Linked DNA regions of Lepisosteus oculatus. The protein of the gene in region 3 binds, or shares a complex with, the protein of the main gene of each other region. Links are inferred from orthologs where the notes say so. Each region holds a gene or a part of one and is shown on either strand. Other genes may lie near its edges.

Region 1 (7,327 bases), on a different chromosome or scaffold from region 3:
TAGACCTTTATGTGTAAACAGCGTCCCATATTTTATTTTGTGAATTCTGTTATAAAACAACAAAAAATATACTTGTGTAAAGTGTCAACAACCGTAGAAGAGTCAAAGCTTGAGTCCTTTTCAATTATAAATGAAGAGATCCACTGTATACCATCTTTCTAATTGCTTTACTGCTGCACTGGGAGGAAGCAGGAATAGCACTAATTGAATGACACCTGCAATGCAATTTAACTGTAAAGACAGACTGAAAAAATAAGATTTTATGAGTGCTGACAATGCCACTGTAAGTCAATTGTGCATTACTTTCATTATGGGACTTGCTTTCAATTTTGGTTGTGGGTTTATCCCTCATTTAAATTACTGGGAGGCATTACTGGGAGTTCTCAAGTAGTATATTTAGGTTAATAGGTATCAACATGTTTTAAAAAGAATTCATTTTAAAGTTGTAAGAGTAGCAATTACAACACATCGGGTCATTTGAAAAAGAAAACAATTCTGAACCTTCTCAAAGCCATGTGCAGTTTTGTCTTTATTTGCTTGTGTCTGTGATGGCTAAACTTTCCTGCATTGCTCTGATTTACCAGTACTACGCTGGTGGAAGTTCCAGTACCGTAACCTTAGTCTGAGCTGCTGTGTCAGCAGATGCAGAGAGGCAGGGCTAATTGCTTCAACACTTAAGAACCGACTTCAAGCAAAAACAGAACTTCATTTTTTTTTAAAAGCTGAATCATACATACATCCCGGCATACAGCACAGATTGCGCATTTTAAAGAGCGAATCATAGAACTAGATAATAATCACGAGCTTTGCACGTTTTGCTTAATGGTGGTGAGCCTTTTTTTCCCTAATTCAAGACCAAGATAAAATGTATCATTATAAACACTGTGTCATTCTTAAAGCCAGGGTCTGTAATTACTTCTTCTTTTAGAAAGGCTAAAATATTGTCTGTTTGGTCAAGTGAACTAGTGCTGGTAAGGAGCTGAGGAGTACCTTTTAGGCCTTAAAGCACACTCAACTTAAGCAGGATTTCAGAGTCTGATCTGCAATGATGCTTTAGTTTTTACATACTGTAGAATTTTTGTACTTAAAGTTCCTGAAATAGAATTTAGGTAGAACAGCCCAGAAAAAAAAAAGCTGGGCAACAAAATTATTCTACACAGGAGTTTTTTAATTACCGTTACAGTATGTTAACCACGGAGTTGCTGTGCCAGCATGACACAAAGGGAATCTACACATCAAGTCAAGACAAATTGCATTAGGTAAAATCTATTGTTTCTCTATAGGAAACCAGAATGAAAAGTACTGTTAAAAATCCAACTCTAAAGCCCACGCTTTCAAAATAAATAAATTTTAAATGTTATGTCAATCACTGAAAAAAATGCCCTTTTTCATCGAAGTCTTCCTTTTATATTGCTTAACAAATAATATTTCTGGATTGCACAAAAAATCAACTTCCTTTTTTGTATCAGAACATGCAGTGTAAAATATATAAAAGTGTATCACAGAAAAGAAGTAAACCTCCTGAAACTCTTGTTCTACAAATACTACTTGTATATCTTGATCACTTCCATACGAAAAAGCAACTGAAGAGGATGACAACTTCTAGATTGTAATGTCCTTCTACCTGTACATTTTGACACTTTCTCTTTACTTCTGTTTTTGTTGTTCTTTTGTCTTTTGTCATTTTCCCCCCAGTAGACAAGTGCCAAATAATGTATTCTTATTATCAGTGGTGTGGATTCTCACTACAGATTTGAGGTTCAGTGTTTTGAAAGTTATGTTTCTTTTCAAGTTGCAGGGAAGGACGTGCACAGAACTGCACCTGGCAGAGTAACGGCTGGAGCCCTTGGCTCCAGTGTTAAATTCACTTGAGCCAGAGTCTATCCCAGCAAGCAACAGGTTCAAGGCAGGGTACATCCTGGATGGCACGCTTTTCCGTCTCAGGGCAGACAGACACGCACACACTCACACCTCACACCAGGGCCAGTTTTCCCAGAAGCAAATTAACCTACCAGTATATTTTTGGGCTGTCGGGGGAAACCGGGGCACCTTGGTGGAAACCCAAATGAATGGGGGTCCAACAGAGTAGGATTCCTCTGCCAGCCTTGGGATTTGAGCCTCCTACTTTCCAGCCACAGGCACAGATCTTTAGCCAAGGTGCCACCGCTCCGCCCTGACCCAACTGTGTCTTGTCCAGGGTGTCCAGAAAATGTGCCCTCTGACTCCAGGGATAATAGAAAGATGGAAAAGGCATGCAAGACTTTCCCTTACATTCATTTTCCTTTTATTGAATTGTACAGATAAAATTATAACAAAATGCTGGTGAGAGCAAAGGCAAGCATTTGTGCTTTCAGTCAAGGTTAATAATTAATGAACAAAGGAACATTCTCTTCAGCAAATGTATCATGTCTTTTTTTAAATGTGAATTTTCTATAAAATACCAGTCGATGTCTTAAACAGAATTGCTGGGTATGAAGGCTTTGTATAATGCACTGTTGGTTTAAGGTGCTGTCGTGCACACATAGCTGTATTATAGACCACTTTCTCATCTTTTCTTGAATCAGTGCTCACCAGCACACCCCCCCAAGGAACACCATCTGCTGTGATAGTGTGCTGTTCTCCTCCTGCTCCCTGAGCATTGTGTTACTGCCTGAATGAAAAAGTGACTGTTTTCTACTAATTACTCAATTGTACCAAGGAATCTGAACAGTAAACATAAGTGACAGAAAAGAAACTCATGCCCCCTCCCTGACAACCACAGATAGAAATGAAAGGCCTACTAAGGTTTTAGTAGATATCTTCTGCTTCAACAGAATTACTGTAATCTTAGATTTGCTTTTAAATAAACTGGTATTGACTGGTGTAGGGTTTACCACAACAAAACAACTAAAGTTAGCATTCTAGATCTTAATACTCATTTTGCTTTAGTTTCAAAATTATACATTTAAACAATATCTTGCTATTGTGTTGTGTTGCCCAATCCCCATTCTGAAATTAAAGATGTAAAAGCTTCAAAGCATAGAACTTACCAAAAGCAGATGACTGTGATATCATACTGTCAAAAGCAAACAATTCCACCAAGCCAGTGAGAAAAAAACAATGTGCTTCATAGCTCCTCTTCCACAAAGTAACATTAAACCAAAGTAGCAAACTGCATTAGAGACCATGACGTTTTTATTCTTCTTCCATTTAAGATATAAAGCATGTTGCAGTATTGAATGATGGTAGCAACTGCTTGCCTGATACAAAAAATGCTTCACATTCATTAGTAGCAGTATAATAGGTTAAATTTAGATTGACAGGCAAATGTGCAACTGTTCAAGGATGACACATGGAAAAGTTATGCCTGTGTATCTTTTTTTGAGAGTGAAACCAACTCTGAGACGATGTTCTCTGAGACACAAGGTTGTGGGAGGATGGAACAAGCTAACCAACCATGTTGTTGAAGCCAAAACCCTAGCTTCTTTTACAAAGAGACTTGAATAAATTTTCAGATCGATACCAAGCAGCTAAAAGAATGAAATGGCCTCCACATTTTTAAGCATTCTTATGCTCTTTTTAACAGACTAAAATAATCTATATTCCAAAACAGACAGCGGTAATGAGCCTCCTCAGGAAGCTTAGGCCCCCAGCCTCAGAAACAAGCCCCTTAAATTGTAATTTCCGTGATTAGGTATAAATTTCTTCATGGTGTTGTGATGGAGCTGAATAGCTCATTCATGAACTAAGACATGCTGCTGTTTGTGCTGAATCTAGATGTTCACTCTCCAGGGAAAATGTATTTTTTTAAATAGGAGAAAAAGAGCCAAATGCTGCGATATACAGTATCAGTTCTATTCCTACAGATACTGAATAAAATCATTCAGTGAGGTGGCTGAGTTTGCTCTTGTCATTGTATTTTAACGTAGCATCTTTGGTCTTTGGCTCTGCTCTGTTCCGCTCAACTCTGAGCTTCTTTTCGAGGCTGAGCTTGTCTGGCTGGGGTGATTCCCTGGAAATGGCCCAATACAGAACCACACCCCCTCATTAGGAGAAGCCAGGGCAGCAGAGAGGCGGGGCAAGGAGGAAGTGGATATAAAAGCCAAGCAAGCCTTTTATAAGTTTGATAAGAACCCTTCCTTTTTTGGGGGATTTCTAAACAGTGTGTGTTAAATTATCAGGTATGGTACCCACCTGGTGGGGCAACAAGAGCTCCACATGACAAGATTTAATGACAAGTTATCTTCCGAAACAACACCAGTTGAACCGACCAGACAGTGTGCCGATCCCATCCCGATTAGTGACCTATGGATTCTTGGAAGTGAATCCGTACTGAAAAGAAATAAAAGCTTAATTAAAAATAAGAATCACCTGACTTCTAGATGAGTTTTGAAACATTCAGGAAACACATTTTGCAATTTTTTGTGACCTGTGAAAACAATACATTTATTATTACGATTGCAGCAATTTCAATTTCCAACAATGATGTGAAAGTTCACAGAACATTCTGAGTATTGGGAAGTATGTTTACTAACTTATCTATTCCAAGAGTCAATGGTCTATGTACAATTTATTCCCAGATGGGAGTTAATAAAGATAGCTGCAACGGTTAAAATCAAACATAAAATGCTGTGGCAATGTCATAAGGTGAACTGAATTAGCTCATATATGCTTTAAAAAGTCCCTATGGATTCCCTCAAGGAAAAGGGTGCTGGAATTGAAAATACGTGGGCCTAATTTAAAATCTAAAGTAGTGTGAGCCAGTGCCATCTGCCCTAATTATCTGTGTATCGTCTTTCCTGGAAGGTTGGAGTCTGAACCTAATAATCCTAACTCTAATGTGAACTATAACTTTAACACTAATCCTAACCCTTACCCAGTTACTCACCTTTTAATCCATACCTTAATGCTAATTTGAACTCCACATTATACTTTCTAACTTTAAAAATTGTTTTGACCTTACACTTATTCTCTGTCCAACACTTTAAAACTTTTATTTTTTTAGAGGAGTTTTGCTAAAGAAAGGGCTTTAAATAGTATTAAGAACAGGCCTTAAGTCAGAACAAACAGTATGGTTATGATTACAGTTACAGTTAGGTTTAGAAAAAATGAATTATATCATGATCTTAATTTTTGGGGGGTTAAATGTAAGAGTTATAATTATGATAAAGATCATATTTAGTGTTGACGCTACCTGTACAGGTATGCTTAGGCCAAGTGCTGTAGCTATCGTAATGTTTGTATATAGGGTACATTTAAATTCAGATTTAGGATGATGGTTACGGTTGAAGAGATCATAAGGTTGATGCGTAGGGTTAAGTTTGGATATATAATAAAGGCTGTATTTAGGTTTAGTGCTGGATTAGAGCTGAGAAAAGGTTAAGCATATGATACTCAAGGTTAGTCTTAGTGCTGGAACTCAGTTAAAGGCTGTACGTAAGAGTTTGAGTTAGGTTTTGTGCTTGAGCGAAGACAGGAGTTATACTTAAGCTTGTGATCAGGGTTCTGCATATATTCTTTGATAGAACTATGTTAAGCGATTTGTTTTGATTTGTTCCATTGCAATTAGAACCCACTCATTCTAATTGCAATGGAACAAGCTGATGACTTTTAGGGATAGCTTAGTTAAGGACTTTAGTGTTTAGCATTAACTTGTCTAGCTGTATAAATGACCTCTTCTTAACCTTTTGTTAAATACCATTTGAGAAACTGGATCATTAACATTGCATTTGTATGAAACCTAGTTGCTATCCACTGTAAAAAGCATTTTCCCCAGTTTTTGTATGGGCTGAAAATACATTGAATTCCAAAAATGTAGATTCATTAAAAACTAAAATTAAGTGAATAACTTCAGTTTGCAATAGATGCAAAATCTGGAAATTCCTCAGAAACTCATTTTCTGAAAAACCAAATGGATCATTTGTCTCCAATTACTCTCCAGGTTTTCTTGGACTTTCAACGACTTTTGACATTTAACATTTATGTTCTATATTAGTCAGTGAGCTGGATGAGGTCAGACACACAACTCTAGATTAAAATTAAAATGATGTTGCAAGAAATGCATTGGCAGTCAATCTGCATAATGCAGTTAAGACTACTTATCAGTTCAGTACTATAAGTTTGGTTTTCTATTTACCTGTAAATGTGAATTAAAAATATACCCAAAGCAATCATAAATTGCTTAGGTTAAAAGTGCTAGTCAAATGAAGGAAAAAGAAAGTACTCATGAAAAAATGTATTTTATGTTGACATTTACAATCTCTAGGTACTGAGGTTAAGCAATTTAAGTAAGCAATGTGTTAGGATTTTTGTCGAACAGATATACCACAAACACAAAGGCATTCACATGTTGTGACAGCTTGAACAGCCTTTGTAGCTGAGCTGCAACTTAGAGATACTAATGTGAACAAGAAATCCCTTTATACAAAGCCAGCAATCTGTGTGTAACACAGAGGATGAATTGTGCATTTCTCTGCAGAGTGTTTCCGTAACATCCAGATCAGGGAGTCATTTATAGTCTGTATATTACAGAACACACAGCAGACAGATTTATGTCAAAATGGGATCCGATGTCAATCCTCAAAATAGTACTTGAATTTCCTGCTGCCCAGACTCCTTCTCCCAGAATAATGGCTTTCCACAGTGCACAGAGAGCAAACAATAAAAATGTAAAGTTCGTAATTGACTAAGGAAGTTGGCAATCCAGGACAGATTTTTTTTTTAACACTTGGCCACGTAACAGGAGTTATGAAGCATTTATCAGTGTGCACCTCCCTAAGAAGAATGTTTTGAGATTAAGTTACTGACATAGCTGAGTCAACACTGACCTCTGGTGGTAAACGTAAAAATGCAGTTTATGCCACCCTGCAGTTTGTTTTTAACGATATTGGAAAACGCCAATTTTTAAATACAGCCGTATTGAAAGTATTAAGCATACCGCTCTCCTGCCAGGCACACCTCAACTCAGAGAAAGCACAGGGAGAGAGTAACGCAGGGTACCCATTTCTCTCACAATCCCATCTTCCTGCGCTGAAACTAATAAAAGCAGGTGAGGGCAAAGCACTGGGCACTGTGAGGAAGATTAACCATGAGCATTGTATGGATCCAATAGATGATTGGAAAAACACACAGATAATAAATCTCAAGTAACAATGAAATTCTTCGGCTCAGATGAAAATTAAAAACCAACAGGTAACAGGTTGTCATCATTCCAAAATACGTGACCTTCAAATGTAGTCTTGCCTTACCCCAAGGGTGCTACTGTGCTAGGGCTGTAAAAAGAGTCTGCAGGATGGGCTCAGCTCAGTGAACTAAATCAATATCAGTTCCATAATGCTGAGATACAGAG
Region 2 (7,668 bases), on a different chromosome or scaffold from region 3:
AACTGTCTTGTTTCTAATCTGGCTCCGTTGCAACTGTACTTTTAATGGTGTGAATGCTTCTGAGTTATCAACTTTAGAAGGCCTTAAGGAAAATCCTGTAGGTGTCTATTTTAGAAAATAATTAGTTCAATTCTTTAACTGTCTGCTCAATTTGGAAGAGAAAACAGAAGACGCCATACCCTTCAGCAACTGAGTCTGAGGCCCCTGACTTAAAGGCAAGCAGACCTGAGGAATGCAGTGAACTGTGGTGGGAGAATACACAAGACCAATGTGAACAAACAGCAAAGCAGATGGACAAGGCAAACACCAGACTCAATGTGTAATTCAGTTGCTTCAGTCAAGGCACAAAAAATCATTGTCTGATCAGTGCAGGGTATGTTAGGAAATTTTTGTCAATATTAGGCATTGCAAACAGGAAAGGTACTATAATATTTCCCAAACCAGCAAACCATGGATTTCTGAAAACTTTCGCCACCTAAAACGGACCATTTGCTTCCTGTAGTTGGGGGGGGGGGGGGGGTGATTTTAATCCTTTCCATGCTACGTTATATACTGTATCCATTTATGCTGGAAAAAGATGTAAAAAATTCCTTGTCTTGGGATTTCTTGTGCAAGATGTGAGAACTTCTTCCTTTCCACCATTTCAATATAGAATTTGGGAAAGTAAAGCACAGAAAATCTGCAACTTATCGGTTTGTGCCCACTCTGAAGTAGCCTTGTGGTACAACTCCAACCACTGTAGAGAAAATGATCTGTGCAGAAAATTGTCTTCATTGTTGTTACTACTGGAAGTATGTTTCCAGATGTGTGAATTTAATGTTATCTTCAACACATCCTGGAAGTGCGTATTTGAAAAGGTCAAAAAAATAATAAAAAACATTCTTACCTATCCAGCATAGAAAGAAACTATTAACCATATTATAAGTACAGAGTTACTGTATAAATGACAGGAAGACTGTCAGTCCATCTACTGTAACTTGTTTGGTTGCTAATAGCTAATCGATTCTTGGCTCTCATCCAGCCATTTCTTGAAAGAAGACAGACTTTTGGCTTCAACAGCATGTACTGCAACTGTTCAGTGGTTCTTCTCCTATTAATTTAATTTCTTGCAATAACTAAAAGATTCACATAGTGCTATGACACTATTTTACACTACTCAGTATTTGCTTCAATGGACAATCATTCTTTGAATCTCCTGATGTATGTAATTAAGTACATGCCTTGTTTTATTGTGTATCTAACTGTTGTTGTGGCTTCTAGAAACCCAATTTTTTTCAGCAGGTAATTTTACAAGAAAAACACAAATATTGTTCTCAATATTCAAACCGCTGAAACAGAAAAATGACTGCACTGCACAAGCCCTTACGATTTGCTATTTAAAGAATTAGCTATTCTTGGACTTGCTAAATTAGTCATTCAAAAAGATCAGATCTGGCAGATAATTCATAAAAATGTCTCACCTTTTCCACATCACCATCGTGGCTTTTGTTTGGCCAGTTATGAATTAATTTTAAACGTATCAGAATGTAACAAACCAAAAAGAACAGACACAATGTTTTTATCAACACAAGAGAAGCCTCAGGACAGTCTCAGAAAACACTCTTCCAAGACTTGGAAGACTTCCAAGTTCCAAGTTCCAAGACTTTTTCATTTAACCAGAGCAACAGGTGAGAGCAAAGGGGTATTCTTGGTCAGCTCAGTTTTTACAGTTGAGCACGTTCGTTGCTTTTTTAAGCTCGGTTTGTGTGTGCACATTATTCAGAAGATGGCTGTTAAGGCCCTGTGTAAAAAAGACTTACAGTATATTCTATAGATAACATCTAGGATTATAACTCTTACCTACAATACTTTTATTGTATCTGTTGTTCTCCATTTTTCTGCATATTTTGATTAATCCATGTATTGACTAAGAGAGGATAAGATCCTTTGTTACTACCATTGGTATAATGTACAAGTAATGGTTTCATCATTGACTTGTATAAGACTGGCTCTCTTGAAAGTAAAGACCAGTCAGCACTAGTTGTACAACAGACTCTGTCATAACAATGCTTTGTATAACATGCCTTTCCAGTGAGTTACTTATTACGCACTGATCGCCTCATTACACTTACAGGCCCAGACAAAAGTACTGACACCCTTCATTTGACACAGTGTTCCTCACTAATTCAACTCCACAGTTGAATTGTGGGTTGAATTGTGGGTCTGTGGTCTTTAAGGACTGACATCCGGTGTTTCTAATGCAGAAGTGCCAATACTTCCATGTGAAACTATCGGACGCTATTCCATTGTGGTCCAGTCCATCCCAGTCCTCAACAAAACTGGCAGTCTTCAGCACCACTGCCCTCAGCTATCCTCACCACACTGCATGACCGCTGCACACAGCAGAGGCATGCTGGAGAGATTCTCACACTTCTTAGTTGGAAAGCAATACTCAAGTGGTAGGCGTAATGTTTTTTTTTTATGTCATATGTAAAATCTGAAAAAAAAAATGCTTTAAGGCAATACACAGTACTTTGCAAAAGCATTCACCCCCTTCAAATGATGTTGAATTACACATGATGTACTGTGCACACATTTCAGCAGGTATTTTTAAGAAAAACAGGAATGCTCAAACTGAACACTTTTGTGGATGAAGTTAAAAGTCAGCAAAAAGAAATCACTTATTAAAGATGTTGATTGGATACATAATAACACGCTTGGACAGCAAACCTACATTAGTTCATGTGCACAGAACCTCTTTGACAAGTCACACAATTAGTTGAAAGGCCCGGGCATGTGACTCACGGCAGCACTCATGTTATCACAATCTCAGCACCACCAGTGCGTCATCTTCATGACTCCACGTTTTTGAACAGTCTGTCCTTGTCCTTTGGACAGGCTCTGGGATCACTTACTTTCCCAGCTGATCCTGTCTGCTCCTCCAGGTGCCAACACCTCATATCAGCCCCGGTCCAGCTGGACGAACCCGTTCCTCAGAAGTGCCCTCACTCCCACTGAGCCCTGCTAAAAAACTACCATGCGGCTCACCTGTCCAGCACCTGGATCAGTACAACCTAAGATGTATCATTCTCAAGCTACTGTACCTCGCAGACTGCTGAGACATACAAACCTGTAAACCAGCCCAATCCAGGCCTCTCTCTGGAGTTTTTGTGCTCTCCACTTCTGTTCTGAAGCTTAGGAATCCTTTTCCTCCCAACTGTTCCTATAAGACTCTTTAATTAGCCCAGATGAGTGGCCTATCCTAACAGTGCCATTTCCTTATGAAGCATTTCACACCTTCTGAGTGCCAATTACTAATTCAGACCAGCTTTGCCTCATCGTGCAGGTTGCACTAATGAACCACCAACTTGACTCAAGGCCCCACCACTGGGCCTGAGTCTTGAGTCAAGAGGGTGGCTTTCGCACAAAGCTTTACACAGTGCAACTAGAGTGGTTCACATGGTTTCAGAATACCCCCGTCTCTGTAAAGTCCCTCAGTCTGGTAGTGATTTCAAGCAGAGATTCAACCACAATGACCAAGGATCTTTCAGCATAATGCAGTCGTACAAGGCACACATCAGGAAGGGTATAAAAAATTCAAAGACACTGAACATCCCCTTGAGCATGGTGAAATCAATCATTACGAAGTGGTTTATTGAAGCACCCAGATACTGCTGAGATCAGGCTGCCCCTCCAAACTGAGCAGCTGGGGCAAGGAGAAAGCTGTTTTGGGGCACCGTCATGAAGCCAACTTCAAAAGGGCCACAGCATTCAATGGCGGAGATGGGAGAAAATATCCATGACTCGAAGCTGTATGGCAGAGATGGAAGAAAAAAGCCCTTACTGGGAATTCATTCCTACATGGATTTTGCAAGAAACACTTAGATAATACTGCGAATGCGCAAGCAAAGGCTTTTGGGGTCAAAGCAAACAAAGCCGAAGCAAAACTTTACATCTGGTGCAAGCCTAGGACATCACCCAGTCGTCAACATCCCTGCTGACAGGCATGGTGATGCCAGTGTTATGTTATGGGACTGTTTCTCACCAGCAGGGACTTGGAAGCTTGTCAAGAAGCTGTTCATCCCCAGCTAACTTGACAGAAAATCACAACTTGAGCACGTTGGCAAAAAATAATGGGTCCATCCTGGAGTGCGGAGCTGGTACTTATCCAAAAAAACAGACAGCTGGAGTTGCTGCCAAAAGTGCTTCCACAAATTATTGACTCAGACGAAGAATACTCTCAACATATTTTATTTGTTCATTTTCTTAGAGGTTTTTGCTGACATGCATTCCCCACCCCCATTAAAATGTTCTGTTTGGGCATGCTAGTTTTGATTCAAAATAATCACTTTAAAAAGTGCATACACAGTACAGCGTGTGTAATTCAACAAAACTGGACATTTCAGAAAGGGCGATTCTAACATTGAAGACAATGGTCAGCCACATCCATAACTGAACGTCCGTCTTTTATAAAGTGTAAAATATCGCTTAAAAATATATAAAAAAAAACTTGTGTGGGTTATTTTCTTTAGAATTGCCGAGTTTTTCTGTATTCTGATTTTAAGCAGAAATTCTATTTTGCACGATGAGATAAGCATCGTTTTTTTTTGTTTTAAAACTTTTTAATTTATTTCATGTAAATAATAATCACGAAAACCAAAGCGTTTTTATTTTTGCAAGTAAACAGCTTTTCTTCATCTGACCAGCATACAAACTGATTTTTTTTTTCTTTCCGGAGTCTTCTGGCGTCTGTGTAGAAAACCCAGCTGCAGTTTCCCTGCGCAAGAAGGCCACCGCGCCGGCGATGATGATGTGACTCGCAGGGAATTCTTTCAGAATGGTGTAACTCTTACAAACCAAACCAGAGGTTAACTCGGGGAATTTCTTTCCCACATTCATAATCCCGCTGTCTTTCTGGAAACCCGCTGAGCGGTAAGCGCACGGTGGAAGTTCAAAACCAGCAACGTAATAATAAAAAAAAGGATATCTGGCGACCCAGAGACCGAAAACTGATACTATCTTCTGCGCCGCCTACACAGTGAGCCGGAGTAGTAAGCACTTTTATTCATTAAAAAAAAATCGCCAGTGGGCTGCAGGCGTTACCATGACATTGACTGACTCACTACCGCAGACCCGGAGCTGGCGGTAAGCGGAGGCTTCTGCATCCAGACAAAGGTCTTTCAAATAATAGCAGCACGCAAACAGCAAAGGAAAAAAAAAAGAGAGAAAGAGAGGGAGGGGGGGACGACACAAAACAAAGAGCAACATGATCTGCGGGCGAACCCGATCCCTTCCCGTTTCCAGAAACGCTCGGGATTTCGTGCCCGAAAGGAGGCGGACCGGCACCTGCCCGCACGGCGTCTGATGGGAGAAAGCGAAAGTGCTCCATCCCCGGCACGCCAGTTCTCACCCTGCCGGCAGCCGGCTGTGCCACGGGGGCAGGCGGACGCGACCAACACAGGCGAGCCTTGTTGTCGGGGTCCGCTAACACATTAATCCGACCCACTGGAATGCAAACGCCGGAGTGGATGATCTCCGATTATGAGTGCGCGGAAAGGATAACGCGTGGTACAATGCCGCCTGTGTGCGCTCACTCCTTCGCTTTGTTAGAAATCAGGGCTCTCCTCTGCCCAGGGGAATTTCTCGGCAGTCTCTGAGAAGTCTGGCACTCGGGTGTCACTCTGTACTGTATCTCCTGCGCTATGACTTCCTCGCCACAGAAACACCGCCGCTTGCTACAGAGGATGGTCTGTGCGCTGTATGTCACCGTCGTGATTGGGACAAGCGAGCCGGGTACGTCGTATTTTTTTTCCCCCTTAAACTGTACAGATGCGTCTCCTCGGGTGAGCCCTCCTCATACACGGAACGCACTTCATGCCCTCGTAATCAGTTGCAAATAAAAGCCTAACAGCGGCCTGACTCGAAATGTAGCTTGCCTGGAAATGGTCAGGTGAGGGAGCCGTTCATGAAGTCTACTGCCTTGGCAGCTGATACGTTTAATATTGCTAGGTTTTTCAAATGTTGCTGTCTGTGATGTATTTTGTTATGTGCAGAGGTCGCAGCAGCAGCAGCAGCAGTATGAGCACAGGTATAAAAAACCAGGTTGGAGGAAGACAAATCTTCTGTCCTGGTAAATGAAGTGTATCCGCAGCCGAAGTCCAACAGTAGCAGAACTGGAGAGGAATGTTGCCTGAGTTTTTTCACTGCCACGTTATTTTGTATTTATTTGCACTGTTTTGCTTCAAGGTGTTACGTAGTATGAATGGGCAATTGCTCCCTTCTGCACTTTAAACTAACAATCGAGAGTCACTGCAGGTGTGATTAGCTTGCGAAATCGCCGGGATGAGTGTTACCGCCTGAAGAGAGAGGTTGACGAAAATCACAGCCCTACTGTACCTTCCCTTTCTGTGGAACATCTCCGCGGGGAAGAGACGATTATATACTAGCCACGAAAAAACGGCATCCTAGTGTCAGATGATTGCTTTTGAATTATCGCTTGAAATGGCTGGCGACGAATTCGCTCCAGAAATGTTTCCAGTATAGCGGGATTGTGGATGACAGGAGATTTACAGTAGCTGAGGTGATCCTCAGCATTTGAGCGAATATTCCTGAGATATTTAATATCCCCCCCCCCCCATCCTACTCGAAATAGATAAACGACCAATAATTTAAAATTGAAGTGGCGCATCGCTTCTTTGAATCGGTGTCGGTATTCTTTGAGGCCCTGGTGTTAAAAAAAAAAAAAACAAGGTGAAGATTTGCATCATGTCGAAAGACATTCTGTTTTTGATTATATGTGCCCTTAGGATCCCAGATTGTGTTTATGAAGAAAATCAACGCTGAATGCTTTTGTTATGATGACAATATTCAAAGGGGGTATCTGCACACCTGCTGGCTCCCTTTGAAATTTCAGTGTTCTAATGAAAGCCCAGAGGCTGGTTAAAAATAACACTGGGGTTCTACTTTTATCTGCTTGCAATAAATGCAATTTGGGAAGACGTGCCAAATCTTAAAGAGTCTGAAAATGCCCAAGACGTGTCTAAACCAGGAGATCTGACTTGTAAAAGAATTAATCAGCTGTATGTATTAGCAACCTCGTATCGGATGTGAAAATAAAAGCAGAGGATCCTGCAAACCGTGGTGACTGGAGCTGCCATGCCTGCCATAGAAACCTGTTTGCTAAATTAAAGCAGTGAACCCTTCTTTACACAAAGGATTGTGGGAGTGGGGAACAAGCGCCCCAGCCATGTTGTTGATATCCTGCTCCCTTTCTAGTGAATGAAATCCTTGGATCAGTTAACCACTAGCCACCAGGGTGCTTCAGTGGCCTCCTCCTTTTATAGGCTTCACATCTAGCCTGTACCTTTTTCTTGGTTTACGCTTTTATTCCTGCAGCACATTTCAAGACTTTAGTGTTGAAGTTCATGTATAGTAACCTCTTCCACTAATCTAATAGTGAATGTGTTTAATTAATTCTAAGATGTGGCATGTCCCATAAATTGTGATCTGTGAAGTAAGCTACGTTTTGTGTATAAGACATGCGTAGTTAGTATTTGTATTGGGCACAGTGCACTTTAGAGCTTATCATGTGATATCTGATGAGGCAGCACTGCACAGAGCAACAGAAATCTGAAAAGTTAAACTTGAAGAACCTCAAGATGGGACATCTGCCCTGAAATAACAATACAG
Region 3 (7,316 bases):
TATTAAAACACACAGAGTTATACTATATTCCCAATAGAAGTAACCTGTTTTGCACGATCGTGAGTTCTGCGCCAGGTTTATTTCATACTGCTTTGAAGAGGAATTTGGTGAAAATCATACAGAAGTACATTGCATTACCTATGGTCACAAGCTGGGTATTTTTAAAAGTCTTAGTACATGTATTACATTCATCGTCATTTAACGCACTTTCGAGTTGACTGAAACAGACATGCGCGCCTAATTATATAGTATGTGATATCTGTTACAGGAGATCCTGAATCATATATGCAATTATTTTCGTCAACAGTACTTGTTTTGGGAAAATGTTTTGCCACAATTGTTAGGAAAAGTCTTTCCTTTGGCAGCCTGGGTGATACAATGACGTCATCTATACAACTATGGTAAGACTGGCTCAAGTAATGACAGCATCCCTGCGGTTCAGTAACGGCGCATTTTCAGTGCCTGGATTGAGATGAGCAGAAAAATAATCGTCATTATTTCCTGGGACAGTTTCCTCCCCAGTCATTTTTTTTTTTTTGCGCTCAGCTGCCTTTTTAAATCAATCAGAAATTCAAACCTATCAAAATACCAAGACAAAAATTATTAATAGCAAAAAGTTGAACTTCTGCTACTGTTTTATTATGAACTTTCTAAATTCTTTGATTATATTTGTAAAAAATGTTTTAAAAAAACATAATTAGGCCAAGCCCAGCCATGAATTGAAGTCACACAGTAAGCTCCTGTGATCAAAGTGAGTGAACGCTGCACGGTTTCCATTAAAATATATAAATATGGCTTGACAGTGTGGTGACTTCATGGCATCTAATAGGAACATGGGGTTTATTTTTCTAAGTCAATTGTGTTGCAGCAGTTTAGGGTCCTAGGATTGTTTTACTGCCAATGAAAGTTTAAGCTATATATAGAGATCTTCAATTCCCACCCTCACAGATCAGCAAAATTACAGAAGGGTTTTGCATGCCAGCGGTCTCTTGTCATTCTTTTATCTCCCAGGTGGGTTTGCTTCAATAACGATCGGTTCAGAAGAGTCATAATTGTGTCTTATAAGAGGGAATGTTAGAAACTTTAGGACAGAATCCCATAGATTCATCACTGCAGTTCAAGAATTAAGAGTAGTTTCCATGGTACCTAATGACACGGCAAATCACATACATCTCTTACAACAGGAGATGAAAGTAATGATCAGTTATCCTGTCACCCCCGACTCCTCCCTGTCCTCCTAGAAATGGTTTGGTCCAGGTTTGCGCGTCACACCTGCCCGTAGAGGAGAGCTTTTGGGAGCGCCCGCAAACTGAAAATGAGAGGCAGCGGAACTTAATTCACCAAGACACGAGTGAATGTCTTGAGCTAAAGTGAACAAGCGCTGAGGATAACATAGTAAAGTGTCCTGTGGTATGATTTCTAGGGTTAAGAACCCCAAAGCGTTGTAAGTTAACTGTGGACAACAAAAGATCTAAGTCTCCCATCAAATGAAGAACAGATCTGAGTGGCCTATGATAAAAGCAATAGCATCAGATTACAGTACAGTGCAATGAACACAATATTGATTTAAAGGCAGACAGTAATTGAATTAACCCTCCACTTTCATACTTCAGGAACCCATGTGTGGATATCTCTAATCATCCAGTCTCAACACCACCCACTGTGCCTCTTTCTGCTGCTCGGCACCATTTTAAAAATAATCATTTAAAAATGGAGTCTGCTGGAATCTCAGGGCAAAACCCACTGTAACTTCCACACTATGAAAGTAGCAAATGGTGTTGCACAGCCACCAGCCTTTCTTCACCCAAAGGGTTGTGGGAGTCTGGAATAATCTACCAAACAAGAAGATTTCCTGGTTTCTTTCAAGAAACAGCTGGATGAGATATCTGGACCGATTGACTTAGACCAATTAGATAAGATACTACCATTCAGATGGACTGTATGGCCTCCTCTCATTTGTGACTTTTAAGATATGATACGATACATTCGTACTTTATTGTCAGATTTCTCAGCAAATTGTTTTGCAGCTATGTATTACACACAGAGAGACACGTGAAAATGTATAAATGGTACTAATACCATTATACAGTACATTAAAAATAAATATTACATTACATAAAAGACATTAACATTGTCATTATACATCCTTGCTATAGGAACTCACACAGCTTACCAGAACCTGTATATTTACTCCCTCCACAACCCTCCTGAGCCTGTATAACTGCAAGACACCCCTTCATTTTGCATATACCTACTAATTGCTCTTGCCCATAAACCAATACTCCTTTATTGATTGAATAGCCTGATTCAATGTGGGATAAGTGAATTCCTAATTTTCTTAAGTCTGTATTAAGGGACTCTAAATTGTCTCTTTGAAGGCATTAGTTGATATTCTTCATACAGAACATGCAAGGGATCAGAGGAGACACTAACAGACTTTCTATTCTTATGTTCATACATTTTACCTTGAAGTCAGTAGCTCGTCCTCATCTTTTATTTTTACAATCATTAGAAGGGTTACAAACGAGAGCAGGCCATTGGACCGTGTGGGAGTTAATACAATTTTACCATCTTGAAATATCATTTTTTTACTGTTGTGAGTGACTTGCTTCTCTTCATAGTTTGATTTTTATCTAAACTATATTTTGGCAAGTAAAGTTCAGTAAGTTAATGAGAATGTAATATATAACAGATGACAATAAAAACAATTTAGAGACACCTAGGTTCTTAATCTTACATTAATAAACTACATAAGCATGAGGAAAAATATCAAATTCACTTCTTAATGTACAGTACCTGTTTAGTATTTCATTAAGCAAAACAGAACAAAGCCCTAGATGATGAAGTTTACGAACTACGTCCATCCATCCATTACCAACTGCTTCTTCCAAATCATGGTCAAGAGGGAGACAGAACCTATCCCAGCAAGCAATGGGAGCAAGGCAGGGTACTCCCTGTTGAGACGCCAGTCTATCACAGGGCAGACAGACACAAACCAAAGCCAGTTTTCCCAGAACCCAGGAGTGTTCTTGGACTGTGGGAGGAAACCCCACATGAACATGGAGAGAACATACAAACTCCATGCAGACAGCACCCCAGGTCCGGACCTGAACACCGGGAACGAGCCCTGTGAGACAGCACAGCGCCGCTTTGCCGCCCATAGAGCTATTAACAATATTGCTTTAAGTGAGACTACTTTGCTTTTTCTTTTTTTCAACCGTTTTCTAGAATTAAAAAACAGATTGAAACAAAAAGGAACTATGCTAAAAAATATCTCACGGGTATTAAGATACTTTGTAGAAAAAATACTAAGTCAGTTCTAACGACATTATTATTTAAACAAAAAAATGGTAACTGGCAAGAACTAAAGAAAACAGGAAACTCGTCGGCGCTCACAGTTCTGGTTTATGTCAATGAGAAAAATAAGAGTGGGAGGGTTGCTAGTCGCCACCAGAGGGAGCGCTTTCATTTCTGCAAAACGTAAGGAGTGTTAATGGAACGTATTGCTAATGACGTCCTTAAAAAGGTTACAAGTTAGATTTATTATAAGGCATTTACACTCTATCCAAAGTTTGGATTTTGCTGGATTGCATATAGCAGAGAGGTTCGATCGCTTAATGATTTGTACAATCTGGGATAGGTGTTACTGGGTTATAAAGTCAACTTTAATACCCAAACAATATTTGACTATTGACTCTGGAAACATTAAAAGATGGTGTCACATAGAAGTCGATTCTAGAGATATCAAAGAGTCAGAAAATCGCCATTCAACACCTCCCCCCGGCAGTTTCACCTAGTTCAAGCCTACTTTCATCCCAAAATCTTGAATCTCGCGTCAGTAAGACTGAAGAGAAGGATCTGCCCTAACTGCCAATTAACAGACATTTCCTTAACCTGACAAAAAAAAAGGAGCCGAAATTTTAGAAACATACCACATCTACACATCCCCATTATTTCACAACAGAAATGACAAAAAAATAAAATAATAAAGAGCAGGATAAAGCAGTAAAGACAGCGAGGGAGCGCACGAGAGATGCGTTTAACCTGCGGTCCCTCCTCCGCAAAACGTCATGAAAAAAACTCGATATAAAATATCCTCTGAGCCTAAAAGCCCGTTCAGAGTCCGAGACTCGTCGCAAACGCAGAGGGAGAGAGGGGTTCGAATGGCAAAGGAGAAATAAGAAGTCCGTACCAGCCAGAGATGAAAAAATAAACTTATCAGGGAAACTGGATCTAACACTTGTTAAAAATAGATTCCGCAAGGAGACGAGCGAATAGGATGCCAGTGCTTTTAATAAAAGTAATGAAGGAAGACGAAAGGGGACGTTTGATAAAGTATGACCAACAGTAAGATTAATGCTGAATTATGATAGTCGGTGTTTTTGGAATACAGAATCGGATTCCGCTGAACGGCCACTTCTTTGTAAATCGTCGTTTCACACAATGGGGGCAAATGACTCAATGAACAACTGAATGAGAAGAAAGAGATAAACTCAAGAGAAACAAATCTGTAAACAAAAGTGTCAAAAGTTTAAAGGAAGATTCCAGATCTCTCTTTTTTTTTACCCCTCAGTGAAACGTATGTACCTGTTAGGAGTCATTTTCGGGAGGAATTGGGTCCTTTGACTGAATAACCGCTATTTGGGGGGGAAAAAAAAGAAAAGGCAACCAAGATGTATCTGGGTAAAGCACTTCTGTTTTTCCTGCTTTTGAACTTTGTGACCATGACTTTGACACTGTCCACTTGCACCACTGTGGATATCCACAACATCAAGAAGAAGAGGGTCGAGGCGATTCGGGGACAGATCCTCAGTAAGCTAAGACTGACGAGCGTGCCCAAGGATGTAGGTCCGACTCAGGTCCCTTTCCAAGTGCTGGCGCTGTACAACAGCACGAAGGAGTTGCTGGAAGAGGTGGGCAGAGACAGGCATCAGAGCTGCGCTCAAGACAATACGGAGACAGAGTACTACGCCAAAGAAATATACAAATTCAACATGATTCAGGGGACGCCGGAAAACAGTAAGCGCTCCGTTTGTATTTTAAGCTTATCAGCAACTGCGTACACTTTAGGAAGTTGTTATCTTCGTATAACTATGTTTTTAAGTGACCTTTTCCACTTTGCTAGTGGCTGACGGATAAATACCGCACTTTCCTGTGTCAGACAAGCAACGCTTCTTGGCGGGCGCACAGAGTTAATATTGTGCTGCTTTTGTTTGCTGGCCCGTGGAAATTAGTGAATGAGGATGCCCTGCAAATAAAATTTGAGTGGGTCAAGTACCTTATTGCAATAGCAGAGCGGCTCTGTTCCGTTCCCTCCTAAACACTCATCGCCGGTGCTTCTGTTATTCCAATCAGAATAGAATGCTGTTCCAGATGAAAGCACGAAACCTCTGCAAATTTTATTAAGACAATGCTAAAGCTTTCAGCAACTATTCCTCTGTGGTCGTTCCACTAAGTACTGTATATTTCGTTGGCAAACTAAAACCTTTTTTTTTCTTTTGATGATATGTGGAAAGTTACTTAACTACAAAAACACAGTGCATTATACATTATATTAATATTGCTCGCTGTCACACATATTGTATAGTTGATATGGCAGTTTTTGTTGATAAGGCTTTCTACAGTATAGACAAATAATCTTCCTTGATATTTCACACTAATCCCTCACTAGTTCTCTTGACCTTTTGACCTACTGTGCTATCAACTGGGTCTGCTGGTTTGACTGTGTTGCCTTTAACCAATATTCTTTCATATCTACCTAAGCCACATTGTAGGCTTTTTCTAATGAACAGAGATTTCTTAAAGGCTTATAAGGCAGGTTGTGAAGGTTATCTTTCTGAAGTGTCAAGAAAATCCATGTTTATCTCAATAGGATCATGAATGAAGACAGACGACAAGGCCTTGTGTTACTGGGTATAATATTTCCCTCTTAATCCTCACCTGAGCTGAACTGAGGTGTAGTGTAGCAGACATGTTTGTGGCTGCATACACTCTCAGGTTTCCATTAACTCATCAACTCTTCAGCCTCATATTTCACTGTTGGCACATCAAGAATTAGGGGCATGCATACATCTCAGGGATGCTGTAAAAAGAGAGAGGAAATGTTAACAAATTAGGCTAATGTGAGGACCTCCTTTTAGCTTGGCTGAAAAAAAAAACGTTTCCTCAGTCCTTGTGACAAGAGTATTGGCTGCAAGTTCAAAACTGGAGAGCTTGTGCACAGAGTTGAGCGTGGCAGTGTCTCACATGCCATTGAAGAGAGCTTTGATAGAAAAAGCAAACAGGAGATTAATTACACTGAAAGTAGGATTCTCAGTGAACTCAGGATACAAGACTACTGCTACCGCCAAAAGCAGACAAGCTGACACATTTCATTGGAATGTTTCTTGGATTTGGAGTCATCTTAATAATTACAAACACGAGTCTTTTGTTTTTGACGAATGTAAGTAGTTAAATATACACAGTATATAATGAAAGGATATTTTTGTATGTTTGCAGGTTCAGCCTGTACATTTATTCTAAGAAATATGTAGTACCACTTTTAAAGGTTAATTGTGTTTACTTACAAAATAGCAAGGGGACATAGTACTTTTCCACTTCTTATTAGATTAAATCTTCGGCACTACAATAGTGAACACTGCCACAGCACCATTGGTGGTACTGCAGCAACAGCAGCTCACAATGTGAATAACCTGCTCCCCAGTGATGATTATCAAAGCTTTCTGCTGAGGTGCAAAATTTGAGTAATATTTTCTGAAAAAAGACAAGAACAACTTGTGTTGAACAATTGAAAGCAGACAGTGCTGAAGTCAGAGTCATTGCATCAGCGTCATTGCATCATACTAGCCTTTGAAATCAACAGGTGTTTGATTGAAAGCAGAAATGAAGCAGTGCTCATTTGGCACTGGCACAAAATTCCTTTTTTTTCACGCTATCTCCGTTTCAACTTCTGAAAAAAAAATCAAAATCGTGGGCTTCACTACTGAGGAGAGTTGTGAGACTATATCTGAGCAGGGAGAAGAGGGGACATGGAATGTGCAGCTCAGATCAGTGCCTTCATGCTCATATTCAGGAGAGACCCCCAAAAGATGGAAAATGTTCTAAAGGTAACAGGAAATGTGCTTTGAGATTCCAGTCCCTGTGGTCTGAAGACTTTCATTAACAATTCCTAAATCTATTGTCTGTTCTGATATCTGAAAACCTCATTACATAACTGCACACTTTAAATGAACAAAGGTGAATTTTGTTCTCCGGTAGCCATCACTGTTGTCGAAACTTCATCTTTTTCGTTTCTTGAATCCACATTATGTAATTTC
Region 4 (7,358 bases), on a different chromosome or scaffold from region 3:
GTGTACAATTTTGATCACCACGCTACAGAAAGGCTGCTGCAACTCTTAACTCAGTCAAGAGAAGAACAACCAGGTACATTCTGAGGCTTAAGGGACTGTCCTACACTGACAGGCTGAAAGAAATTCGTTTTTAGTCTTGAATGGAGAAGTCTACAAGGAGACCTGACGCATGTATTCAACATCCTCAAAGGTGTTGACAACCCAGCTGACTTCTTCAAAATGAACAGTGAACTACATAGAAAAGCATTTCAAACCAAGAGCAGGAGGTGCTTCTGTACCCAAAGGGTGGCAGGAGGGTGGAACAAGCTCGTGTTATAAAGAAGTTTAAAAACTGTTGAAATGTTAGCATTTCTTGTGTTCTTATGAGACAAGGCAAAAACATAGTAGAATCGGCAGAGACTGATGAGAAGCTCATTAAAACAAACAAATAGGCATTCCTGCTGTGAAATCCCAATTTGTTTTTATGACCCATGCTTTTTAGCTAAGAATTTATTCTTCGCTGCTCCTAATATTAGATTAGCCTCACTTAGCGTACAAAAAGTAAAGTGAAATTTAGAAATCTCTGCGTCCAGAAAAGCCTTTTGTTGAGCTCACCTCGCCAACCTGCCTGAAACAGGTATGAGCTCTGCTAGCAATCACCACAGCAGTGAAATGGACAAGCTTCAAAGTGTTACAGCAGCTTCTATGAGCACACTCCTCCAGGTTCCTGTCCTGACACTTCTCTGTGCTCCCCACACGCTGTCATTTAACTCCGAACAAAGGCAACAAGTTCCTCTTACCAGGTCATGCTCGTGAACAGAGAACAACAAGCCGTGAAAGCTGAAGTTTGTTTGAATCAAACGATCCGTCTTCACCACAGTGCTGCATCGCCCACAAGCTCGCGGCAGAGTAAACTGGCCAGCCACACTCACCACGCTTCTGGTCACTTACCATGGGGCAGGGAGAGAGCTGCCGGGGCCGGAATGTGGCCGTCGCTTCATTCGTGACAGCCAGAAGGAACCAGAGATACAGTGCCATCGTGCTCGAAGTCTGGAGCATCAACACCGGAAAAAAAACACACAGAAAATCATGAATGAATAAGAAAAAAGAAAAAACAGAATGAAAGGACTAGACCATGGCTTGGGGGTTTTCAGACGTTGTGTGGGATGAAACTCAATGAGAAGCTGCCTAACAGCTCTGACAGGGAAGTGGAGGCTCTGACAGTGACACTTAATGGCAAAATAGTGAAAATAAAAATGTACTCGATGACTTTGACCTGTGATTGTGTCATTGTCCCACACAATTACAGTATTGTTATCAAATAATCAGGTAGATCGGCTTTTTATTGTTCTTCAGGTTTAATTGGATCCAAAAAATAAACTGCTTAAATACCTTTGTTAAAATCGACGTGCTAAACATGTCACAGTCACTAAGCTGAGTACATACACATGCAAACCCACTTCACATACAATCTTTATCAAAGTAGTTTTATCTATACATTTTTTATCTATAAATGTATCTTTTTTACTACCTCCAGATGTTACTGTTTAAACTTAAGGTGAACTTGGGGTCATAAGGACCTAGAAAATGACTGGTTTCTAAAGTGAAATTAATTGGTAGGAAAGCAGTCCTCACAGTATACCTAAGACAGGAAGCATGTTGTGTGTACGGATCTATTGTGATGTCCATTAACACTACACAGCACCACAGAACTTCCAATCTTGACAATACAGTCAAAACCATCTAAAAGCACCTGATTCTTTTAATCCATGTACAGTTTGTTACAAATCTGAGAATACAAAATAACAGGAAACACCTACAGATCAGCCATTCTTTTAAAAAGTCTGTTTAAAGGTTAGCTATAATTAAATATGTAACACACAGTCTGCATTTACTCACCAAAATTGACTAATTAAGAACTTATCAATGGCTTATCAACTGCTCCTGGACACAGTGCTCAGGCAGATATGAGTGTGACAACTTTCTGAATGAATACATTGAAATATTTATAGGCCATTTGTTGAGGAAAATAAGGAGCTACCTTTTCAAACTATTACTGTTAAACTGTTGAACTTAGAAGTGTGCTTAAACACATTTTAATTTAGGTCTTAAACAGAAAAGGCTTTTAGTTACACTTCTATAGAAATTCTATTACCAAAGTACATTACAAATTTTAAAGCAACAATCAAAGTGTATTTTTACGTGTATGCAGTAATATAGATGTGCCACAGTCGGGTGTCCTGGGTTCAATTCTTGGTTGCAGAGCCTGCACAGTCTCCTTATGTTCATGTGGGTTTTCTCCAGGTGCACCAATTTCTGCAGTATGTCTTGTTCCCTGTGTCTGCTAGGTTAGTCTCCGGTTGACAGGAGAATGAAGTAGTGGACACAGCATGGATGTCATAATACAGTTAAGACAATTTCTCACTCTGTCATATTATATACAGTATATACCTCATGCAGATAGACAGGTAGATTCCTGTTAGTTAAGTTGTCATGTTCTTTTCTAGATTATTTTCCTAACTGCTCCTCTCGCAGGGGTGGGAAGTTGCCCATTTTTATCAAACATTGCAATTGGAAATCCAATTGCTTTATGACATATGCAAGCTATCAAACAAGACTTGGTTGCAATGTTGTCCTTGGAGAGGTTACTTGGTTATTGCTTGCATGAGCCACTAAAATGAAAGCCACAAACACACTGGACTGCACTTAGCAACAAGTCCCACAGCAGCAACAAATACTGTCCAGAAAATCAAACCTGTCTCATGTGGTAAAACCACAAAGACACGTCTGAGTATTTTTACCACCTCTTGTAGGAGTTTTTTTCCTTCTGAATTTAAATGCTTAAAAGTTTGTTTCTTACTTTAGTTTAAAGACTTAAAGTTCCTGTGACATCCAACTATGATAAGACTTTAAATTCCACTGTTTACATTGTCTTGATTAGAAAACGTGTATATCTTCGAAAAAGTGGCAGGTATTGCCATAGGAACTCATAGCTTCTCACGCCGATATATATGCCTAGCTCTCTGCCTTTCCAATTCTTTCTGTCTTGGGAAACAGCCCACTTTCATCCTTCCCACACTAGTTCCACTTCTCAAAATTCCTTTCCAGCTCTCCTCTTTCTGTGGCCATTCTCCCTTCCTCGTGTCTCATTTCATTTGTATCATGTGCATCGAACAAAGCAAGCAAAATCGACAAAAAGTCAAGTTACCTTCTGGTAAGAATTATTTCCCCCTCCAGAGTGTGCTGCTCATGTTGCTGCTGTGATGCTCACACATCCTCCCTGACTGCTGTCCAGCTGGCTCTGCCCCTGCACCTTTCAGCTATAGACGGCAGCTAATACATCCTGTGGGAATATCCTGCAGGATTGCTTTTTTTTCCCCCCGTCAGTTCCTTATTTGGGATTGGGAAGTCCATGTTTTCTCTCTTATCTGACAACACATGGTGAAACAGGGTCCTAATGCTTCATGCTTCAAAATGTGTCTAACTTTATAAGACTCCTATCTCCTCACATCCGGGATGGCACTGCTCAACATGCAATACGGCACATAAACAGTTTAAAATTCCGTGCGTGTTTTCCATGCGAATACAAAATGCAAACTTTGAAACATGTTTATTCTTTTCTGTAAGTATTCCTCCCCCCTTACCACTGTTTTTTGGTTTATTTTAAGATTTTACAGGCCCTGCAATTATGTCTTTGTAGAATTTTAAAGGCGTTACTACTTACTACTCCAGTGAGTAACCCTCTGCTAGATGGAAGAAATTCTTTAAAAGAATACCCAGCCGCCAGGTAATCCATCAGTAACACCTGCCTAACCCCACCTTCAGGAAGTCCAGCTAGTAGCCTACATGGCTCAGCAAAAACCCTTTTCCCAGAATTTCTGGGACACAGGTAAAAGCAACCGGTATCAAAAAGCATTTTCCTGCAGCTGGTCCTGGGAGGACCACAAAAGCTGAAGCTCAAGGTTGTTACAAAACAGCAGAGATCCAGCCTGTCTTTCTGTTTGCCTACTCAAGACTTACAGACATGACAAGGCTTGAACAGAGGTTTTGTTAGCCTCTAAGCGCATTCACTTTTCATTGAGCAATCTACAACTCCAATCTTCACAAACTGGAAAACATTTTTTTTTCACAACAAGAGAGCTCTGTCAGCTTTGAGAATAATAGATGACTAAAGCTTACTGACATTTTTTAAGGGCACAAATTGAAAAGGTCATGAATTTCCCATTTTTTTGTTTGTGTCTATTTTTTACTGAACATGCGAATCAAATGGCTTACAGGTTCAATTGTGTAATTGGCTTGTGGCAGCAGGTGTTTTTAATGAATAGACTACTGTATTTTTTTATTTCCTTACCAAAGCCTTGAGGAAACAACAGTCTTTTTCCTTGTCAAATTATATAAAAAATGTTGTTTGAAGATACAGTGGGCAGCTAATTGATCTCAATAATAATAATAATAATAATAATAATAATAATAGGTAGTTGAGAGAAAGACAACATTTTTATCTCCACCACTTGAAGCTAGTACAGTGCCACCTGTCTCTAATAAATAAGTTAAAACACTTGCAACCAAAGATTTTAGCAAAGGTTCACTTCTGATATTATTGAGTGTTATAGGTTAACCTACATAATATAAGGCGTGAATTTAAAGATGCCACTGTGATTATTCTTAGGCAAGTGTCTATTATTATAATTTCTTATTACCAAGATTTTAAAAATACAATAATATTTTCTTTGTCAGATATACGAGTCTTTTAGGAACACCAGAAGGGGTCATCAGTTTGCTTAGCGGAAAGCAGCGCATTTCCATTGGATGTTCTCAACGAAACTGATCAGAAAATTTGCACATCAGTCATTGCACCTGGAAGACATTATTACGGAAGACGCGATAACCTACCTGCTCTCCTGTGAGGTGAAATAACAGTGTTGTTGTTGTTTGTTTTTTGCCGAGTCTCAGAGTTAATCCAGACTAGCACAAGGATGCTGGGATCTTGCTTCTGTCGCGAACATCCCAGAAAACATCACCGCGTCTCAAGTTCACGAGCCAAGTTTTTTTTTTTAAATTAAACTTCCAAGCTTAAACCCTGCTGGACCACCGCCTGATGTCCATGCTGCTTCGGTGCGTTTCCAGCATTGCTGCAGCTTGCCTCTTGTATTCCGACATTGACTTTCTCTTGCAGATTAATGTTTGGAGACTTGGGTGTTCTGAGTAGTATAGTGCCAGCGGGAAGAGGGGATTTCCCATTTTCTGTGGGAGAGCTCCCTCAGGGATTCCCTATAGCTGGGCGCAGATTTTAAATAAGGCTCATTCATTTGCATACATCTTGCACAAATTCGTTCGCGAGTTACGTTTCCTTTTTTTTTTTACAAGCATTATTTTAATAATGTGTGCCTTTCCGTTTGTCTCCTTTCTGACTCCTTTCGGATTTTATATTTTCGTCCGTCATCACTTTGAAGGGTGGCCGTGACGACAGGTACATTAAAGAGCGAGCCTAAGTCGAACAAAAACAAAACGTTTTTCTTGTCATATTGTGTCATGCCACCTTGTGATGTTGCTGCTTAATTGCAGTCCAGCCGGCGGGAATGACCATTGACCTTGAGTACGAGACTAAACAGGGAAGAAGTGCGGTATTTTAATCATTGTCTCCATCTAGTGGCGCAGAAGCGTTATAAAGGAATCTTCCGTGGTGATTGTCATTGACGTTACTGTGTGGCTACTACACAGAAAAGGAAACACGACGTTTCGGCTGTGGAGCCTTCTTCACACCCGAAGAAGGCTCCACAGCCGAAACGTGTTTTCTCTCTTCTCTTTTCAGCATGGAATAAACCTATTACTTGTTCATTTGCAGGATAAGCATGCTGACGCAGCTACCCACCTGAACTACTGTACATTAAAATCTGCATAAACATACAGGTGATCCTGGACAACCCTGCCAGCCGACTGAAAGTGTCTTATTGGTGACCGATCCTAAGCAAAATAATGCAAAAAAAAATGCAAACCTAACGCAACATAGAAGATGTCACTGAAACGTGCATAAAATGTGTCGCTAATGCATACAAGAGTTGTTTTAACCTCTTATCAACGTAATCTCTGCTGCAAAAACACAAAACAACCAAACAATATTTCCCACAGTTCTTAAAATGCTTAACGCCAAAACAGTGGGTTTTTTCGCGTTCTCACAGAAATTGCTGATGCGGAAACAAAGCTAAACTTTGACACAGGGCAGCGATTTCTTTTTTCACACTGTTAGCAGGATCTTTTATCAGTGTCATACAGTACATCCGTGATTTAAGTGACGGTTTTTGGGCTTTGACGTGCCAGTTATTTCTGGTCACGGTTTTAATGCATTATTCGCTGAAAAGTAAATAGCACTGGATGTATTAAAACTTGGTAGACATTAATTTTCTTTGCGTTTATCTGTGGTAAAACATTTTCTATGATGAATTGAAACTGTAAACGAGTTGATCAAGTAATCCAGTCTTCACCAGGAGGACTGGTTTAAAACTAAAACATAAAGATGTGTTTTATTACCAGTGTTGTTTTCAACCTATACAAATGAAAAGCAGATTAATGATGGTGTTTTGCTTAAATAGTATAGCCTTGACCAAACACTCTACTGTGATCGAGTGTTAGCTCTTATCGATTGGTGCCAATCAATCACTTTTGAAATAAAAGTCAGGAAAACAAAACAATTATGCTACACTCTGGCAGAATTTGAGCCAACCACACTGCAACCTATAAATACAAATGTTCAGCTTGTGGAGATGGTTCGTTGTTTTTAATATCTATGTGTGTTCATTGATAATAAACTAAGCTTTTCAGACGACACAGAGTATATTTTTGATAAAACCATGCAGGGATGACTTCACCGACTTGACTGTATGCATACTGTAAAACACACTGGACGGTTTATGTATTCTGTATTACACTGGTCTTATTGTTGTCTTGTTGAGGCCAAAGGAAAATTTAGTAAATATTAATATAGTATTAAAAATAAAAACATCGCATCTAGTTAACCTTAGAAACCTTTCCAGCTGATATATGTATATAGTACTATAATTTGAATTAACCAGATAGAAATGCCAATTTCTATCAATAGGTCTGTGGTTTAACTGTACTCTCTCGGTACCAGCAGATGTCAGTGTTGATCTAAACTGTTCCCAGGGAAAGCAAGACAAAACGACGGGCCAGGAAGCCCTCGTACACACAATTCGCTTCATTGCGTCTGTCAGATTCATGTTGAATTCAGGAACCAAACGGTAACTATGAGGAAGTGCGTTTCAAAGTGTCAACGGGAGACCTTCTCATGCACAAGGGCCTGCTGGACTGTGAAACTACCCAACCTTGCCGTTGAACCTAATATTCTGTCTTCCCCCAGAGAA

What was found.
Region 1: the proteins of tgfb3 (region 3) and itgb6 are in contact, whole or in part, in a crystal structure (PDB 4UM9), measured with the Homo sapiens proteins. The link is inferred for Lepisosteus oculatus from reciprocal best matches to the Homo sapiens genes TGFB3 and ITGB6. Residues at the interface, in NP_001316868.1 of Homo sapiens: His259, Gly262, Asp263, Leu264, Arg266, Leu267, Lys268; in NP_000879.2 of Homo sapiens: Ser142, Ala143, Ser144, Asp147, Pro196, Cys197, Ser199, Ile200, Tyr202, Cys204, Ala234, Asn235, Ile236, Asp237, Thr238, Glu240, Asp271, Lys355.
Region 2: the proteins of tgfb3 (region 3) and itgb8 are in contact, whole or in part, in a cryo-EM structure (PDB 8VS6), measured with the Homo sapiens proteins. The link is inferred for Lepisosteus oculatus from reciprocal best matches to the Homo sapiens genes TGFB3 and ITGB8. Residues at the interface, in NP_001316868.1 of Homo sapiens: Gly262, Asp263, Leu264, Arg266, Leu267, Lys268; in NP_002205.1 of Homo sapiens: Ser156, Ala157, Ser158, Asn161, Arg206, Gln210, Cys211, Tyr214, Leu216, Ser247, Gly248, Asn249, Ile250, Asp251, Thr252, Glu254.
Region 4: the proteins of tgfb3 (region 3) and lrrc32 are in contact, whole or in part, in a cryo-EM structure (PDB 8VSB), measured with the Homo sapiens proteins. The link is inferred for Lepisosteus oculatus from reciprocal best matches to the Homo sapiens genes TGFB3 and LRRC32. Residues at the interface, in NP_001316868.1 of Homo sapiens: Leu24, Ser25, Thr26, Cys27, Thr28, Leu30, Pro347, Pro349, Tyr350, Leu351, Arg352, Thr357, His358, Val361, Leu364, Leu368, Ser375; in NP_001122394.1 of Homo sapiens: Ala110, Ser135, Tyr137, Ser160, Val184, Met186, Asp187, Ile188, Asp190, Phe193, Leu202, Leu204, Arg206, Asn207, Ser208, Thr210, Cys211, Ile212, Ser213, Asp214, Phe215, Ser216, Leu217, Cys227, Asn228, Ser229, Lys254.

Annotation. Positions count from the first base shown.
Region 1 is NC_090707.1:14,216,596-14,223,922, forward strand, and holds the start of itgb6 (integrin beta-6), read right to left. Parts: upstream 3,215-7,327; 5' UTR 3,030-3,214; intron 1-3,029. UniProt on the Homo sapiens protein: Integrin alpha-V:beta-6 (ITGAV:ITGB6) is a receptor for fibronectin and cytotactin. It recognizes the sequence R-G-D in its ligands. Internalization of integrin alpha-V/beta-6 via clathrin-mediated endocytosis promotes carcinoma cell invasion.
Region 2 is NC_090705.1:1,755,130-1,762,797, reverse strand, and holds the start of itgb8 (integrin beta-8), read left to right. Parts: upstream 1-4,618; 5' UTR 4,619-5,681; coding exon 5,682-5,772; intron 5,773-7,668. UniProt on the Homo sapiens protein: Integrin alpha-V:beta-8 (ITGAV:ITGB8) is a receptor for fibronectin. It recognizes the sequence R-G-D in its ligands.
Region 3 is NC_090703.1:8,710,105-8,717,420, reverse strand, and holds the start of tgfb3 (transforming growth factor beta-3 proprotein), read left to right. Parts: upstream 1-4,120; 5' UTR 4,121-4,673; coding exon 4,674-5,019; intron 5,020-7,316. UniProt on the Homo sapiens protein: Transforming growth factor beta-3 proprotein: Precursor of the Latency-associated peptide (LAP) and Transforming growth factor beta-3 (TGF-beta-3) chains, which constitute the regulatory and active subunit of TGF-beta-3, respectively.
Region 4 is NC_090700.1:6,485,800-6,493,157, forward strand, and holds the start of lrrc32 (transforming growth factor beta activator LRRC32), read right to left. Parts: upstream 3,178-7,358; 5' UTR 2,269-3,177; coding exon 2,182-2,268; intron 1,030-2,181; coding exon 931-1,029; intron 1-930.